4 linked regions of the Arabidopsis thaliana genome follow. The protein of the gene in region 1 interacts with the protein of each later gene in a pairwise test. Each region holds a gene or a part of one and is shown in the gene's direction. Other genes may lie near its edges. The genes, in order: VAR3, OTP82, CRR28 and NCED4.

What was found.
Region 2: the proteins of VAR3 (region 1) and OTP82 interact in a two-hybrid assay, tested with the Arabidopsis thaliana proteins (one study listed by BioGRID).
Region 3: the proteins of VAR3 (region 1) and CRR28 interact in a two-hybrid assay, tested with the Arabidopsis thaliana proteins (one study listed by BioGRID).
Region 4: the proteins of VAR3 (region 1) and NCED4 interact in a two-hybrid assay, tested with the Arabidopsis thaliana proteins (one study listed by BioGRID).

What each region holds. Positions count from the first base shown.
Region 1 is NC_003076.8:5,869,178-5,874,709, reverse strand, and holds VAR3 (zinc finger (Ran-binding) family protein), read left to right. Parts: upstream 1-1,927; 5' UTR 1,928-2,038; coding exon 2,039-2,481; intron 2,482-2,562; coding exon 2,563-2,689; intron 2,690-2,807; coding exon 2,808-3,088; intron 3,089-3,375; coding exon 3,376-3,474; intron 3,475-3,573; coding exon 3,574-4,900; 3' UTR 4,901-5,014; downstream 5,015-5,532. UniProt on the Arabidopsis thaliana protein: Probable component of some protein complex required for chloroplast and palisade cell development. Involved in C-to-U editing of chloroplastic RNA. Controls a large number of chloroplastic editing sites.
Region 2 is NC_003070.9:2,513,616-2,518,354, reverse strand, and holds OTP82 (Tetratricopeptide repeat (TPR)-like superfamily protein), read left to right. Parts: upstream 1-1,734; 5' UTR 1,735-1,755; coding exon 1,756-3,981; 3' UTR 3,982-4,205; downstream 4,206-4,739. Other genes in the region: ACA7 (alpha carbonic anhydrase 7), read left to right, coding at 1-201, 423-529, 625-727, 837-1,004, 1,088-1,141, 1,259-1,333. UniProt on the Arabidopsis thaliana protein: Involved in multiple sites RNA editing events in chloroplasts. Involved in the editing of the site 9 of ndhB (ndhB-9) and site 1 of ndhG (ndhG-1) transcripts, which are two plastid-encoded subunits of the chloroplast NAD(P)H dehydrogenase (NDH) complex.
Region 3 is NC_003070.9:21,939,251-21,943,419, reverse strand, and holds CRR28 (Tetratricopeptide repeat (TPR)-like superfamily protein), read left to right. Parts: upstream 1-1,635; coding exon 1,636-3,552; 3' UTR 3,553-3,668; downstream 3,669-4,169. Other genes in the region: AT1G59710 (actin cross-linking protein (DUF569)), read right to left, coding at 3,747-4,142. UniProt on the Arabidopsis thaliana protein: Involved in multiple sites RNA editing events in chloroplasts. Involved in the editing of the site 2 of ndhB (ndhB-2) and site 3 of ndhD (ndhD-3) transcripts, which are two plastid-encoded subunits of the chloroplast NAD(P)H dehydrogenase (NDH) complex.
Region 4 is NC_003075.7:10,480,053-10,484,421, forward strand, and holds NCED4 (nine-cis-epoxycarotenoid dioxygenase 4), read left to right. Parts: upstream 1-1,566; 5' UTR 1,567-1,782; coding exon 1,783-3,570; 3' UTR 3,571-3,827; downstream 3,828-4,369. UniProt on the Arabidopsis thaliana protein: May be involved in carotenoid cleavage.

The sequences.
Region 1 (5,532 bases):
TCAAATACTATCGACTGTATTTTAGGGGTTACATTTAAGATTATCAAAACTTCGACTTAAATTCAAACGTCTAATATAAAATTTTATGTGAAGTTGTTTAATGGTCCGATTAATAGCGCAAGACGGTAAGAGCTTTGTAACTGTACAAAATAGTGATAAAAATGGTGGTATGGTTGAATATGGTAAAAATGATAAGAGATGAAAAATGGTACGATAAGAAGTCGTTAGACCAAAAAACTAGCTGCATATTGAATTAGTTCGAATGAATAATAGGATTGCTTTTTCTACATAGTTCTGAGGTTACTTCTCTTTCGGTAGTTCGTGGATCCATCGGATCATGTTCGTCATTTGATAAAGTCGTCGGTGAATTTTACGAAATGGTTAGTGGTTATTGATCATTGTTTAACCACAATTTCTAACACTCTCACTTGTACGATTAAAGTTAATGGAATTGTGTTTTTCTTATCCTTTTAAAATTTGAGACAATCTTTCAATAGACCCAGAAAACAAAAGGTGGCGAGAAAAGGTAACTTCGAAACTCCAAGCGCTAAAATAATGTTCGGATAATCATGATTCATGAGATAAGTCACACTAATTACATTAACATAGAAAAAGTTTCTTTAAAACTTCTTGATTAGTTTTAAAGAAGACACTTTAACTAATTTGAGGAATTTAGGGCTTTATCTCATGATGTAATGACATAAAGTCTCTTTATTAAAATTGAATTTTAATTACAAATCATGTCAAAGTTGTTAGCCCGTCCATTGCACTTGTGGCATAGAACTAAACATGTCACATCAAAGTATAAATAGTAATTAATTATGATAAAATACATTTCTAGGGGAATTAATGAGGTTATACCTTACGGACTTAGATTGAAGTCATTATCAAGGCAGTTAATTGTCTACGTACTCACCAATATTTTACTCCACATAGATCTAAACAAAGAAATTAGTTATTACATTATAAATAGCTTAGTGTATGTAAAAGTGTTAATCAGAATAAACATTAGTCAAAAGTTGACGGCAGTGATCGGCAACTAATCCACACCCAACTTTAACTCACAGTGACTCCCACGTTCAAGAGAACACAAATATTATTCTCTCCTTTTTAGTTCCACTGATGTTTTAATTTTCGTTTCTTTCGTTTATATAAAACTATATTCATAACGTATTATTTTTTAGTTAATTTTTATTTCTTAGGTTTTATTATATATTGTAATTGTATAAGTTCTGAAACCAAGAAGTACTAATACATAATAAATATAACTATTTTAGATCCTTGACATAGCTTTTTTCTATAGTATATGTAAAAATAGTCTATATCATCTATTATTTTCGAAAGTTGTAAGTTGTAACATATAAACTTATTAATTTAAGAAAAACAAAAGTTAGAAATTAAATAACGTATGTGAATTGAAATCTCTAAACAAGTAAACATCACTTATTACGAACATATGTAGAAGTATAACTATAATCGAGGTTTGTTAAGTAAGTGAAAATTCAATAACGGAGAAATGTATGACTATAAATCTTTTAAAGTTATAGCGGCTTTAAGTCAAAAGAAATGTATGCATGCGTATGACATTGTACAATGTACACTTCAACTTTTCAAGTCACGAAAATTGATGTCAAATCGACGTGCAATTTGATAAATACCGAATCTGCAAACTCCTTTTTATATTGTATAAACTGAAGATTTCAACATAAAACTTACGCTTATCTTTAAAACATCTCTTAGATTAGATTACTATCAGTTCGTTACTTGGGTTAATTCCATTATTAGTACGAAACCATTTACTTTTTCTTTAAGAGACATCCCATTTGAATGAAATACATTATTTACCAAAGTTACCAAACATTCATAATGGCAAGCCCAAGTAGTAGCACACAGAATTATGGGCCTATGTTAGCCAATATGGGCTTATTTTTTTCTTCATTTTGCAATTATTTTGCGATTTATTAATCCTTTTTTTTTCCTTAAACATCACTGAAATAATTCTCGCCGGTAAAAATAAAACCAGTGACGACGAGCAACGATGAACAACTCCACCAGACTCATCTCCCTCTTCTCTCCTCATCCTCCTCCTCTCTTTCTACTCCGTGGTCTCTACATCAGCCGCATAGCCAATCTCCGCCGTTTCCACCGCCGTGCGTTTCCTCCTTCGTCCGTTGCCTCAACCAATCTATGTTCTTTCCGTCCACTCGTGTCATTGCCGCCGCTTATCCCCACGTTTCCTATAGGACGATTCTACAATCACCAAGTCCGTGTCTCCGCCGCAGATTTTGTTCCTTCTTATCACAACCAGCAGCTACCTGAATGGACAGAGCTACTCCAATCTCTCTCCAAAGCTGGTTACTTCTCAGATTCCGGTTCGATTTCTGGTTTAGAAAGTGAATTCTTTCCCGGTTTTCCTGATGAACTTCTCCGTCCAGCTCTTGCTTGCTTAGCTCTAGCTCGTGAACGACCAGAACTGCTTGAGTAAGTAATCTGCAATTTTTTCTCTTTCTCTTTTTGGATTGATTCTCAATCTGAATATCTGATGATGTTAGTGTTTATTAGAATGCTTTCGAGGAGAGACGTTGAAGTGCTGGTGGAGAATGGAAAGCCATTTTTATTCAAGACAGGTCCAGATTCACTTAAAAGGATGAGCCTTTACCTAAGAAGTGGTCTTCAGGGCATTGGTAAGGTAAGTTCTATCTTCTGGCAAATGCTTAGTCTTTTATTGGTGAATGCTAGGTTATGTCTAAACTTGGTTCAATGGTGATTTGTGCCTCAAAGTTATGATCTTTTGTGTTTTACATTAGTTGATGGATATGGAGAAGGCGAGTACAGTTGATTTGATGAGGCTTATTTTGAGTTATGTTGTGGATGTTGCTTCTTCTGAGGAGAGCAAACAACATAACAAAGAGATTATGGAGTCATCGGTTCGAAGCCTCTTGAGTCAGATAGCGAAGATGAGCTTGCGTCCTCCTGAGTCGAATGTTCATGACACGATGCAAAATCAGTACTCAGATAGAGATGGACAAGGAGTCAGGTCTTTTCAGAATAACGTTGAGATGAAACGTGGTGACTGGATTTGCTCGAGGTATGAATTTGTTGGATTCTCAGTAGCTTTTTGGTGTAAATCTCCTATGGCCTTTTGGTTACCATTCTTCTATGGAAAGATATAAGTAGGCCTAGATATAAGGATACCATAAAAAAAAATCTTCTGGATCTGAGCTTGAACAAGTATACTTCTGACTATTACACTAGTATTGTGGTCGAAAGATCTTATTTTTAGAGCTAAGAAGTCAGTATGGTGTAATTGTCTTTGTTTCATCATCTTGTCGTTTAGGGAATCTATATATATGATGTGGGAATTTGTTGAAACAGGTGCAGTGGCATGAACTTTGCGAGAAATGTCAAATGCTTCCAGTGTGATGAAGCAAGACCAAAGAGACAGCTTACTGGTAGTGAATGGGAGTGTCCTCAGTAAGAAACTGATTTTTTCTCTCTGCTACTTTATGACTAATGCGATGAGGAATGATGAGGTTAACCTTTCCTTTCTTTCTTGGTTGTTTCACTTATCAGATGTGATTTCTATAATTACGGGAGGAATGTAGCTTGCTTAAGATGTGACTGCAAGCGACCCAGGGACTCTTCACTCAATTCAGCCAACTCTGATTATTCAAGTGACCCTGAACTTGAGAGAAGACTGGTCGAAAACGAAAAGAAAGCACAGAGGTGGCTTAGTAAAGTAGCACAGGGTGGTTCTGATGCGAACAGTGTTGATACAGATGAAGATTTCCCAGAGATTATGCCTTTGAGGAAAGGAGTGAATAGATATGTTGTTAGCACGAGGAAGCCACCTCTTGAGAGAAGGTTGGCTAATACTGAGAACAGAGTAGCTACAGATGGAAACTCGAAAAGGAGCGACGATAATGCTTTGGGAAGTAAAACAACTAGGAGCTTGAATGAGATTCTTGGTTCTTCATCCTCTTTGACTTCTCGTTCTGATGACAAGAATGTATCTTCCAGAAGGTTTGAATCTTCTCAGGGAATAAACACCGATTTTGTTCCTTTCGTGCCATTACCTTCGGATATGTTTGCCAAGAAACCTAAGGAGGAAACACAGATAGGTCTGATTGACAACATCCAAGTGGATGGTTTCTCAGGCGGCAATCAAAATGTCTATCAAGAGGACAAGTCAGATGCAAATCACTCTGGCAAAGAAACAGATCGCCTTGAAAAGGAAGATCACAAATCAGAGGAACCTGCGAGGTGGTTCAAACGGGTCACCGAACTGCACAATGTTTCAGACTTGGAAAGCGCAATACCGCAAGAGATTTCTCCTGAGAAAATGCCTATGCGAAAAGGAGAGAATCGGTTTGTAGTGAGTAGGAAGAAAGACCGTTCACTGACTTCTCCAGCATACAAGAGGCCAGAAGATTCAGACTTTGTCCCCTTTGTCCCTTTCCCACCTGACTACTTCGCCAAAGAGAAACAACCCAAGGAATCAATAGATACTCTTCCAGCTCCGGCGACAGAAAACGTTTCTCAGGTAGTACAACAAGAACCAAGAGAACCTTCAATCAACAAATCTGATACAGTGGCAGTGAAGATCAGAAATGGAAAGAGCTTGGAGGGTTCGTTAGTGAAGGAGTCAGACTTGTTGGACATGTCAGAGGAAGCAAAAGCAGAGAGATGGTTTAAGAGAGTGGCTGAGATTAAGAACATATCAGAGCTGAGTGAGATCCCAGACGAAGATTTCCCGTCGATAATGCCGATGAGGAAAGGAGTGAATAGGTTTGTTGTCAGCAAGAGGAAAACTCCCTTGGAACGGCGTTTAACTTCTCAACGACACCAGAGAAATCCTCATATCACCAACTCTGATCCCACTGGTAAAGGAGATAAATGACCATGTAGCATAACATTTTTTCGGAGTAATATTACCATACGATTTTTGTATTTCTTTAATTCAACTTCTATATACACAATGTGTAGAAACTTTATTCTCCATCTTTACCGACGGCATCCTTTAGAAGTCGCTGTGTTTCTTCTCTCCTCCTGCACACAACAAAATCAACATTGCTATAATACATCAAACGTTACCACAACAAGCTTTTGAAGAATCTTGGATGGATGATACTGATACCATTAATATAATAAAGTTAATGCACACAAACATCTTAATGTCCTTCACAGCTTGCTTTCGCTGTTGAATTTGAAGTTCCATAATGTGAATAAGCTTTGGTCTCGCCTTGATTAAAAGAAACAACACAAATATATATACAGACAGAATGTTGTGAATATAAACGTAACACAAAGTGATGAAACATGTTGTGAATGAAAAGAGATCGTTACTTGGTGAGGCAGTAAAGAATTGAGAAAGTAATGCAAAATATTAAAGATTGAAGATATATCAGCAAGCTCCAAAAGGAGAGTTATAAGCAAAACCGAAAACACGTCGTTAGAGGCAAGATTTAGAACGAGAGGCAAGATTTAGAACGACGTCGTTTATGATATCTGCGGGTAAATCAGGCTCCCCTA
Region 2 (4,739 bases), on another chromosome or scaffold:
AACTACAAGAAGAACGATGAGAAGGGGCCAGAGAGATGGGGAGAACTTAAACCGGAATGGGAAATGTGTGGAAAAGGAGAGATGCAATCTCCCATAGATCTTATGAACGAGAGAGTTAACATTGTTTCTCATCTTGGAAGGCTTAATAGAGACTATAATCCTTCAAATGCAACTCTTAAGAACAGAGGCCATGACATCATGGTATAATAATATATATAAACATGCATGGACTCATCTTCTGTTTAAGCTAGCACACACTTTTTTCGTTTGATTTTGTTGTGTTTATATATAAAACTAGGTAACTTTTTATTCTTACACAGAAGCCATTATTATAGAGCCACCTATGTGCTTCTAGTTTCTACTAATTAAAAACCGTAACCCTTAATAAACCAATAATCATGTGTTGATTAATCCTGTTGCAGTTAAAATTTGAAGATGGAGCAGGAACTATTAAGATCAATGGTTTTGAATATGAACTTCAACAGCTTCACTGGCACTCTCCGTCTGAACATACTATTAATGGAAGAAGGTAACTATTTCATTAAGATAATAATTACTAACTACATCAAAACTATCTTGATCGGTTCACAAAACTAAAAGTATTAGAACTTGCAAACAAACCAGGTTTGCACTTGAGCTGCATATGGTTCACGAAGGCAGGAATAGAAGAATGGCTGTTGTGACTGTGTTGTACAAGATCGGAAGAGCAGATACTTTTATCAGATCGGTACACATATAAAAAACTTAATATCTATTATTAACTGCATCGATATGTAATATTGGAACCAACAGTAATTGTTGATTTATTTGTTTTTGAAAATTTGGGTTGGTTTTAGTTGGAGAAAGAATTAGAGGGCATTGCTGAAATGGAGGAGGCTGAGAAAAATGTAGGAATGATTGATCCCACCAAAATTAAGATCGGAAGCAGAAAATATTACAGATACACTGGTTCACTTACCACTCCTCCTTGCACTCAAAACGTTACTTGGAGCGTCGTTAGAAAGGTATTTATTTATCTATTTTCACTTCATTTTGGTCTTAATTACCTAATTAATAGCAATGTTTAATTCCTTTAATAAAATTTCAGGTTAGGACCGTGACAAGAAAACAAGTGAAGCTCCTCCGCGTGGCAGTGCACGATGTAAGTGAGATTCCTTATGGTCAATGGAATATTCATCCCATGATGATGCTTTTTTCCATCCAATTTATTCATTCTTTTTTCATTATTTTAACTAGTGTTTTGAATGATATTTATTAGGATGCTAATTCGAATGCGAGGCCGGTTCAACCAACCAACAAGCGCATAGTGCACTTATACAGACCAATAGTTTAATATATGAAGATACTGAAAGCTTTTACTAATCTTAATTATTCACATAAACATCATGATTATACCCTAAAATAAAGGTTTCTCTAGTTACTCTACGTTAGACTGTTTTGTTGATTTTATTTATTTATCGTCCACGAAAATAATGGTAAACACAACAAGGATATTATTAAAAACTTATTAATTATTTTGGTCTCGTTTAGTATTTCTGCCGTTTACGTTTAAATTTTGCAAAACAACATAATCAAACATCGATCCTACCAAAAAAATATATAATCAAACATCGTAAGTGAAAAGTTAATCACAGGCCCATATAGTTGCAAACAAAAAAATCACAGGCCCAAACAAAGTCCGTGTGCTATTTGGGACTTTAAATGTGGCGGTAGTGAAAATTTCCGTTGGAAGCAACGATAAGTAAGAAGAAGAAGATGATGCTCTCGTGTTCTCCTCTCACCGTTCCTTCTTCTTCTTACCCATTCCATTTCCTTCCTTCGTCTTCTGATCCCCCTTACGATTCTATACGAAATCACCCTTCTCTTTCTCTTCTCCACAATTGCAAAACTCTTCAATCTCTCCGCATTATCCACGCTCAGATGATCAAAATCGGTCTCCACAACACCAATTACGCTCTCAGTAAGCTTATTGAGTTCTGCATTCTCTCTCCACACTTTGAAGGCCTTCCTTATGCGATATCTGTTTTCAAAACTATTCAGGAGCCAAACCTGTTGATTTGGAACACGATGTTTCGTGGGCACGCGTTGAGTTCGGACCCTGTTTCTGCTCTGAAGCTGTATGTTTGTATGATTTCACTTGGGCTTCTTCCTAATTCCTACACGTTTCCGTTTGTATTGAAATCTTGTGCAAAGTCGAAAGCTTTTAAGGAAGGGCAACAGATCCATGGGCATGTTTTGAAACTTGGATGTGATCTAGATTTGTATGTACATACTTCTCTGATCTCTATGTATGTCCAAAACGGGAGATTGGAAGATGCACATAAGGTGTTCGATAAAAGTCCTCACCGAGATGTGGTTTCATACACAGCTTTGATCAAGGGTTATGCATCGAGAGGCTATATCGAAAATGCACAGAAGTTGTTCGATGAAATTCCCGTTAAAGACGTAGTATCATGGAATGCAATGATTTCAGGATATGCTGAAACCGGTAACTATAAGGAAGCGTTAGAATTGTTTAAAGATATGATGAAGACGAATGTTAGGCCAGACGAGAGTACAATGGTCACTGTAGTTTCTGCTTGTGCTCAGTCTGGTAGTATTGAATTGGGTCGTCAGGTACATTTATGGATTGATGATCATGGGTTTGGTTCAAATCTCAAGATTGTTAATGCTCTCATTGATTTATACTCGAAATGTGGTGAATTGGAGACAGCGTGTGGTTTGTTCGAAAGATTGCCGTACAAGGATGTAATTTCTTGGAATACCTTGATCGGTGGTTACACACATATGAATCTTTACAAAGAAGCATTGTTGTTGTTTCAAGAAATGCTTAGATCAGGTGAAACTCCAAACGATGTGACAATGCTAAGTATTCTTCCTGCTTGTGCACACCTTGGAGCCATAGATATTGGAAGATGGATTCATGTGTATATCGACAAGAGATTAAAGGGTGTTACGAATGCTTCTTCTCTCCGTACAAGCCTGATTGACATGTATGCTAAATGTGGAGACATAGAGGCAGCACACCAAGTGTTCAACAGTATACTCCATAAAAGCTTGTCGTCTTGGAACGCAATGATATTTGGGTTTGCAATGCACGGGAGAGCTGATGCATCATTTGATCTTTTCTCAAGAATGAGAAAGATTGGGATTCAACCAGATGATATCACGTTTGTTGGTTTGTTGTCTGCTTGTAGCCATTCAGGTATGCTAGATCTTGGACGCCATATTTTCAGAACAATGACACAGGACTACAAAATGACCCCAAAATTAGAGCACTACGGTTGCATGATTGATCTTTTGGGTCATTCGGGTCTATTCAAAGAAGCGGAAGAAATGATAAACATGATGGAAATGGAGCCCGATGGAGTGATTTGGTGCTCCCTTCTCAAAGCTTGCAAGATGCATGGGAATGTCGAGTTGGGCGAATCATTTGCAGAAAACCTCATTAAGATTGAGCCAGAAAACCCAGGTTCTTATGTACTTCTGTCTAACATTTATGCCTCAGCAGGAAGATGGAACGAAGTAGCAAAAACACGAGCTCTCCTCAATGATAAAGGTATGAAGAAAGTTCCTGGTTGCAGCTCTATCGAAATAGATTCTGTGGTCCATGAGTTCATCATCGGGGATAAATTCCATCCACGGAACAGAGAAATCTACGGAATGTTAGAAGAAATGGAGGTGTTACTAGAGAAAGCCGGGTTTGTTCCAGATACTTCTGAAGTCTTGCAGGAGATGGAAGAAGAATGGAAGGAAGGAGCATTGCGGCATCACAGCGAGAAGCTAGCTATTGCATTTGGGCTGATCAGTACAAAGCCTGGGACTAAACTTACAATCGTGAAGAATCTAAGGGTATGCAGAAATTGTCATGAGGCTACAAAGCTTATATCAAAGATTTACAAAAGGGAGATTATTGCTAGAGACAGAACTCGGTTTCATCATTTTAGAGATGGTGTTTGTTCCTGCAATGACTACTGGTAGCCATCATTTCAGAGGATCTTGTTACCAATGATGTTGGTCAAGAACTGTAATATGACTTTCTTTGTGTGGTAGCTGTAAATTACAAGAAGATTAGTCAAGCAAGTAAATTGCATATAAGGTGTAACTGATTCATTGATGTAAGGGTATACATGTAAAGAAAGACTTTTCACTTTTCAAATAACAAATGCTGACGTATAATTTTTCTATACATGTATAGTTCATGCAAAGAATTGAGTAATCATCTAATTTTTACATTTAAAATTATGAAACTTTAGCTTCCAAGAAGCATAGTTAATCAAAATCAATTAAAGTTTTTACATTTATCACAGATTCAAAATAATTTTTACAAAGTATGTATAATAGTTAACTATAATGATTAAATGTGTTCTTATCGAATGTGAAGCGTTCATTTTATATAAATAAAATTTTATAAAAAATTATAATACAAATAATTAATCATAATTGTTTTGGAAATTTTGAAGTGGAATTATTCTGGAATCAAGTGTTATTGCCTTATTGGATTAGTAATTTTAAAATGTACGATCAAATCCATTGTTATTTCTGGAAATTTCTTAGTTAAAAATATAAGATCCAAATCCCATAGTTTTAGATGAGATTTGAGAGAATTTTAATAACAAATTTCCTAATTCAACAAAATTCACCAAAAAAATATCAAAACTCATAAAAACTCAAATCACTCTAAATTAATGATCCAATACACTCCTCCATTTAACTGGTGAGTCCCACAAAGATTTCCT
Region 3 (4,169 bases), on another chromosome or scaffold:
CTACATAAATGTATCAAAATTGTGCATTTTAATGATCAATATATAAAAAAGATGTTATAAGCAGGCCACTAAGTTGAAAACTCGCAGTCACATTGCTTTGATCATCTCTACTGAAATTTCTGAACTTTGTTTCAATAAATGGTTCGTTAATTTTTTTAAAAGCCGTTAAAAAGGAAAATTATACATGTAGTTTTACATATTTAGCACCTTGGATTTCTTATACAATGAATTCCCTAGGATTTTAATACAATTTCTCTTTTGTTTGATAGGAAGAATATACATTCAAGTTTGGATCTACTGATGAAAGAGCTAGGGAAAAAACGTTAGACTATATCAATAGCCGTAAAGGTACACAAACACAATCGAATAGTTTTGTGGAGCCAAAATAAACCATTTTTTTATATATATAGTTGCTACTAAATATATAGTTTACATAGAAAACATTTCAATAACACTATAATATTTAAAAATCTATATAAATGTATTTTTCCTTTTTGTTAGGAGTTAGTTCTGTAACATATAATATACAAAGCGACTTGCTAACCGTGAAGGGAGAAGGACTTGATGAGGTTAAAATACAAAAGAAGATAGATAAGATTTGTAAACCGAAAAAGGGGGTTTTAATGTGTTTTAATTAGTCCCAAATAATGGTTTGTCCAAAAACATAAAGTCCCAAATAATGATATGGTGTTATCTTATGTCTTGCTTATTTATGTATTTGTATCCTATAGAAATAATAGTATGGTTGACCAAAACAGAAAAAAAAAATTATATATAAGTTTTAGGATTTTTCTTTTAATATTGATTAAATTTTGCGATGGAAAATAGTATTTCTGCGTAAATGTACCAAAAGATATGATTTATCAGTCATTAATTTATAGTTTTCTACCATACTACTAAAATAATTTTTATTTTTTTGTAATGTTGTAAACATTTTCGTGTATGAATTATATCATAATGTTCTCATATGAATGGATCGAAAAATGTCCATACAACTTTAAGATAATAAAGTGTATCATGATCAAAGAGATTAAGAATTGTTTTTTGACAATGTATATGGAGGATACAAAGCTTGGAGACCAAGTAATGTAACATTTTTATGGATCTATGTAACAGCTTGGAGACCAATTATGTATATTCTATTTGTAGGATATTCAGAATACATATTCGATACTAAATAGCAAAGCTTGGAGTGTCTTGAGTGGTTTTTGGTGGTTGCGACAGAAATCCTCCAATGTAAGCCTTGGCCAGTCAAGCTGTTACCAGTTGGATAGGGTTCATGCTACCGTTCTACGTTTTCTTTCTATATATATTACAAAATAATTACTATAAAATTGTAATATAAATAAAAATTGTACATTTTAAATATATAAAACAATAGGTTGTAAAATCTATTGATCAATTAAACGAATTATATTATAATTTATTTTATTTTAAATATAGTTTTGCGGTTTACCGTAAATTAAAATCTAGTAAATTAATTAAATTAGATAATCATTCTAAATATATTTTTTAAAAATATTAATTGACTCTCGGTTAATCCAATGACTCGATGAGTAGTCTTGCTTGCCATCCGGTTTGCCATCCGGTTCGGTTTAAAAACATTGGTTTTTTCACGAATTCCAAACTTAAAGTATGGTTGTTCGTTCAATTATCGTTTCACCTCCAACAACTATAACTTATTACCATCCAATGTCTATCGGTCTTCTGGTCCACCCATTATCTCCTCATATCCCACCGGCAAGTTCTCCCTCAGCCTCCACCGCCGGTAACCATCACCAACGTATTTTCTCCTTAGCAGAAACATGTTCAGACATGTCTCAGCTCAAGCAACTTCACGCCTTCACTCTCCGTACTACTTACCCTGAGGAACCCGCAACTCTGTTTCTCTACGGCAAAATCCTCCAGCTCTCTTCCTCCTTCTCCGACGTCAATTACGCGTTCCGGGTTTTCGACTCCATCGAAAACCATAGCTCTTTCATGTGGAACACTCTTATAAGAGCATGTGCTCATGATGTTTCAAGGAAAGAAGAAGCCTTTATGCTTTACCGGAAAATGTTAGAGAGAGGTGAATCTTCACCGGATAAGCATACGTTTCCGTTTGTATTGAAAGCTTGCGCTTATATATTCGGGTTCTCCGAAGGGAAGCAAGTTCATTGTCAGATTGTGAAACATGGGTTTGGTGGAGATGTGTATGTTAATAATGGTTTGATTCATTTGTATGGGTCTTGTGGGTGTTTGGATTTAGCACGGAAAGTGTTTGATGAAATGCCTGAGAGAAGTCTTGTTTCGTGGAATTCGATGATCGATGCTCTGGTTCGGTTTGGGGAGTATGATTCTGCGTTACAACTGTTTAGAGAGATGCAGAGATCGTTTGAACCAGATGGTTATACGATGCAGAGTGTTTTGAGTGCGTGTGCTGGTCTTGGATCTTTGTCACTAGGTACTTGGGCACATGCGTTTCTGCTGCGAAAATGTGATGTCGATGTTGCTATGGATGTTTTGGTTAAGAACTCGTTGATCGAAATGTATTGCAAATGCGGGTCGTTGAGAATGGCTGAGCAAGTGTTTCAGGGGATGCAAAAACGTGACTTAGCTTCATGGAATGCAATGATTCTAGGGTTTGCTACACATGGAAGAGCTGAGGAAGCCATGAATTTCTTCGACCGTATGGTGGATAAAAGAGAGAATGTTAGACCGAACTCAGTCACGTTTGTTGGCTTGCTCATCGCCTGCAACCACCGAGGCTTTGTAAACAAAGGGCGCCAGTATTTTGACATGATGGTCAGAGATTATTGCATCGAACCTGCGTTGGAGCATTACGGTTGCATCGTCGACCTTATTGCTCGTGCAGGCTACATTACTGAAGCTATTGACATGGTAATGAGCATGCCAATGAAACCAGATGCAGTGATATGGAGAAGTCTCCTTGATGCTTGTTGCAAAAAGGGTGCTAGTGTGGAGCTAAGTGAAGAAATTGCTAGAAATATTATTGGAACAAAGGAAGATAACGAAAGCTCCAATGGTAACTGCAGTGGTGCATATGTACTGTTGTCTAGAGTTTATGCATCAGCTAGCCGCTGGAACGATGTTGGAATCGTTAGAAAACTAATGAGTGAACATGGAATTAGAAAAGAGCCTGGATGCAGTTCTATTGAGATAAATGGCATCTCCCACGAGTTTTTCGCAGGAGACACGTCGCATCCTCAGACCAAACAGATATACCAACAGTTGAAGGTGATCGACGACAGGCTAAGATCAATTGGTTATTTACCGGATCGCTCTCAAGCACCTTTAGTGGATGCCACCAATGATGGTAGCAAAGAGTATTCCCTTAGGCTGCACAGTGAAAGACTTGCCATTGCTTTTGGTCTGATAAACTTACCACCTCAGACTCCAATCCGTATATTCAAGAATCTACGTGTCTGCAACGATTGCCACGAGGTTACTAAACTGATCTCAAAAGTCTTCAACACTGAGATCATCGTGAGAGATCGTGTTCGTTTCCATCACTTCAAAGATGGATCCTGCTCTTGTTTAGACTACTGGTAGCAAAAAAAAAACTAGTCGCAGTAATTGAAAGAGATTGAGCATTAGAGTTGGACAAAAGGGAAAGAATGGTATCTCTAAATCATAAGTTTGGTAATCAAGCAGTATCTCTAAGTCAATCCAAATCCTTTCTTAGTAGCAACAAACCAATTGCAGCCAAAGCCTTCACTTCACAGCTCAGCTTCAAAAGAAAGATCTCACTTGATGAACTTTTCTGCTACTGTTAAATCCAAGAAAACAGAGAACATCAGTGACAATGCAACGACTTGACTTGAAATTAGGACCAAAAGAGACTCACTTTTTGATGATTTTGGCACTAAGACAACAGTCATGTCAGCATTGTTAGGTGGAAGTTGAAGACGCAATGGGAAAAGCTTCCCGTTCAACGGACTACGAGTACAAACGATAACGTCTTCGACATTGCTCTCTTCTTTCAATCTCATAGTCAGCTCTTCAACACCATTTCCTTTGAAAGTAAACGAACTTACCTCAACAGAGTCATCTTCAACATCATCATCATCATCCGCCACATGGTAGTATATCACTCTCCCTTCCGATTTCGGCGGCGATCCAACCGCCAGTGAATCCGTTGACTACCACACACAAAACATCAAGTCAAC
Region 4 (4,369 bases), on another chromosome or scaffold:
TTGTTGTAACTCTACTAGACTACTACTGTTGTTTTCTAATCAGATCTAATGGATTTGGGCCTCCAGCTAAATTTTGAGTTTCCCGTGAATCCATATTTCAAGGTTTTATCTATTTGGGCCTCAACAGCTTAAGCTTATATAAGACGAGCCGATTCGATCATGGTTTAGTGACAACTGACAAGTGTACTTGCTAAGAACCAAGTAACCGAATGAGATTTGGATTTTTAGAAATGATTTTTCAGTTTTACTTTGGTTCAAACCGAAAAAGTAAGCCCCGATCGCATTCAATTATCCAAACACGATAATCTTGCTCAATTCTACTCTTTTAACTTTGGTCCTGTCTGTTTAAAAGCTAAAGAAGATTGGTCCCTACCAAAAAAAAAAAAAAAGCTTAGAGGATTTGTTTTTTGATTTTTTTGCTAAATTTTGCTTAGAGGATTGGCTGGGACTTTAAGATAAAGAAAGAAGAAAAAATTACAGTTACAGTTTAATCAATCGACTTAAATCATATAAACTTAATTTCAATAGATAAGTTTGTATTAGTTTAGCTTGAAAAATAGAAGTAGTAAAGAGTTCGATATTATCTAGAAAACTACAACGTAGGAACAACACATAAACATGTGAATTGTGCATGCATAACCCCAAAGAGTGGCAATATCAATTATCAAATATGCAACACTTGTACCATTACATGTCATTCTATCTTTCATATTTTTGATGATTTTGCACTTTGAACTCTGAACCATCCATGATCCATTCCCTTGACTTGTAAAGGTTATCAATCAAACTTAAGTTTTTAAAAATTAAATTTGTAGTCAAGAATAGTAGTCATATATATATATATATATATACAAAAAACAAAAATTTCCCCGACCCAAGTGACCGAAAATAACGACTACATGTTTTATTCCTCCTTTAGTATAATGCGACATTACAGTTTGGTATCAGTAGTTTTGTATCCTTCTCACAATCACGATTGTTGGTGTAATAAACTTTATTCTTTCTATCCAACATGTTATAGTTTCCACATTTGTGGGTGCTGAAATTTCGACCAATGTCACTCGTAGACTCGTATACCTAATCGAGTTTACTTTTATATCAACAACTACAGACCAAGATTCCCATTTCACGTTGTTGTTTTTTTTTGTTTTTTTTATAAACATTTTTGTTGTTATCGCTAAATCATTAGTAGCTAGAATGCCCCGTACACGGTCTTGAAAAGGAGTCAAATATGTTTTTACCAAAGAAGAAATGTAAGAAACATAACATTTAACAAAATTTTAAAATATATTGACTAACAATTTGACCCAAAAAAAACTATCAAATTTAATAAAATACTTTTATGATTATCATAGTTTTTTTCCTTTTCAACAACTTTATAATACTGTAGTGGCTCAAAGAAACCAGGTCGGAGAAATTGTTCACAAACGAGATAATATACAAATTCAAAATATTTCGATGAAACATTTTTGTCAAAGTTGATGAATAGTTTTGCAGCACATAAAATACAAGATAATTCGTCTGATATTTAGGAAAATAATATTATCGTATGTGAAAATAACAATATAGACAAACCAATATTTGTAGATTAGAACTTCACATAAACTACGAACCAAAGGATTTTAGTAGCTTCACATCAAAGAATAAAAATCTAAGTTTCACAAAGAAACAATTAAATGATTTTTGATTTTGAAAATTTAATAAATAGCCCCACACAACACACTCATCTTCCTTCACAGCCTTAAACGTGGAGCCAAAGAAAGTAAAAACAAAAGGAGAGCAATGGACTCTGTTTCTTCTTCTTCCTTCCTCTCCTCCACATTCTCTCTTCATCACTCTCTTCTTCGCCGCCGATCTTCCTCTCCTACTCTCCTCCGTATCAACTCCGCCGTCGTCGAAGAACGTTCTCCAATCACAAACCCAAGCGACAACAATGATCGTCGTAACAAACCCAAAACACTCCACAACCGAACCAATCACACCTTAGTCTCATCACCACCGAAACTCCGACCAGAAATGACTCTCGCAACAGCTCTCTTCACCACCGTCGAAGATGTAATCAACACGTTCATCGATCCACCTTCACGTCCTTCCGTTGATCCAAAACATGTCCTCTCTGATAACTTCGCTCCTGTCCTCGACGAGCTTCCTCCAACAGACTGTGAAATCATCCACGGCACTCTTCCACTGTCACTTAACGGCGCTTACATCCGTAACGGTCCAAATCCACAGTTTCTCCCTCGTGGTCCTTACCATCTCTTCGACGGCGACGGTATGCTTCACGCCATAAAAATCCACAACGGTAAAGCCACTCTCTGTAGCAGATACGTCAAGACTTATAAATACAACGTCGAGAAACAAACCGGAGCTCCGGTTATGCCTAACGTGTTTTCCGGATTCAACGGTGTAACGGCGTCAGTAGCTCGTGGAGCTTTAACGGCAGCTAGGGTTTTAACCGGACAGTATAATCCGGTTAACGGCATTGGTTTAGCTAATACAAGTCTAGCTTTCTTCAGTAACCGTCTCTTTGCTTTAGGTGAATCTGATTTACCCTACGCCGTCCGATTAACCGAATCAGGAGATATTGAAACGATCGGACGGTACGATTTCGACGGGAAATTAGCGATGAGTATGACAGCTCATCCTAAAACCGATCCAATAACCGGAGAAACTTTCGCTTTCCGGTACGGTCCGGTTCCACCGTTTTTAACATATTTCCGGTTTGATTCCGCCGGGAAAAAACAAAGAGACGTTCCGATATTCTCGATGACGTCTCCGTCGTTTCTCCATGACTTCGCGATCACGAAACGTCACGCGATTTTCGCAGAGATTCAGCTTGGCATGAGGATGAACATGTTGGATTTGGTTCTCGAAGGTGGTTCTCCGGTTGGTACTGATAACGGAAAAACTCCAAGGCTTGGAGTGATTCCTAAGTACGCCGGAGATGAGTCGGAGATGAAATGGTTCGAAGTTCCTGGATTCAATATCATTCACGCTATTAATGCTTGGGATGAAGATGATGGAAACAGCGTCGTTTTGATTGCACCGAATATTATGTCGATTGAACATACTTTAGAGAGGATGGATCTGGTTCATGCTTTGGTGGAGAAGGTGAAGATCGATCTCGTCACCGGGATTGTGAGACGTCATCCGATCTCAGCGAGGAATCTCGATTTCGCTGTGATTAATCCGGCGTTTCTCGGGAGATGTAGCAGGTACGTTTACGCGGCGATTGGAGATCCGATGCCGAAGATCTCCGGTGTGGTGAAGCTTGATGTGTCTAAAGGAGATCGGGATGATTGTACGGTGGCCCGTAGAATGTACGGTTCAGGTTGTTACGGCGGAGAACCGTTTTTCGTAGCTAGGGATCCTGGTAATCCGGAGGCGGAGGAGGATGATGGTTATGTGGTGACGTATGTTCACGATGAAGTGACTGGAGAATCGAAGTTTCTGGTGATGGACGCTAAATCGCCGGAGCTTGAAATCGTCGCCGCCGTGAGGTTGCCGCGAAGGGTTCCGTACGGATTCCATGGGTTATTTGTCAAGGAAAGTGACCTTAATAAGCTTTAACAATATAGGTAACTGCAATAGTTAATAGAATAATTAAGTCTTAATTACGTCCCGTACAACAAATCGCATAGTGTTGTTGCACACTTGCACTTTATACATTAAACTAAAGTACACATAGTTTGGTGGTGGTCGATGTATATAAAACATACCAAAGCTTATGAATATTATTTTTTTCTTTTAAATATGCAGCTTCTGTTATTGGCAATAAATCTTATAAATATTCATTCATTCCGAGAGTTATCAGATCTTAACACAACTCTATTTCTCTATTTCATATTAGTGGAAGATGTAGATAAAAATATGAGAATGCTGAGTTTTAATACTCGAATATGACAATGTGGGCAATGTGTCATGCCAATATTGTTTCTTAAGCATAAAAACTGAATACATTGTTAATAAGATCATGAGACAACTATCAGTCGAAATATGAATGATCAGTTAACGGATAAAGAAAATTAATGCACAGAAAAAGATTTGTGGTTTAGATAAATAAATAGGAACATGAAAAAGATTGTGTTTTAGTGATGGGACCAACGAGACATCATTGTTTTGAGCAAAACATGAGGTATGGATATGGATATGGCCCAACGTCATTTATAGCATATACAACGACCTTTAGAAATGTAACCTCTTAAAACAAATTTAAATCTTTTAATTTTAGTAGTATTAAGAAAACCTTGAAATTATTGTGAATTGGGTGTAGTGGAATCAAAGCAAACGAGTGGCCAAAGCAATAAACGAACGAGAGTGACACTGACATAGATGTAGATTTATCCTTTCGTTTTGAGACCAAAGGGTA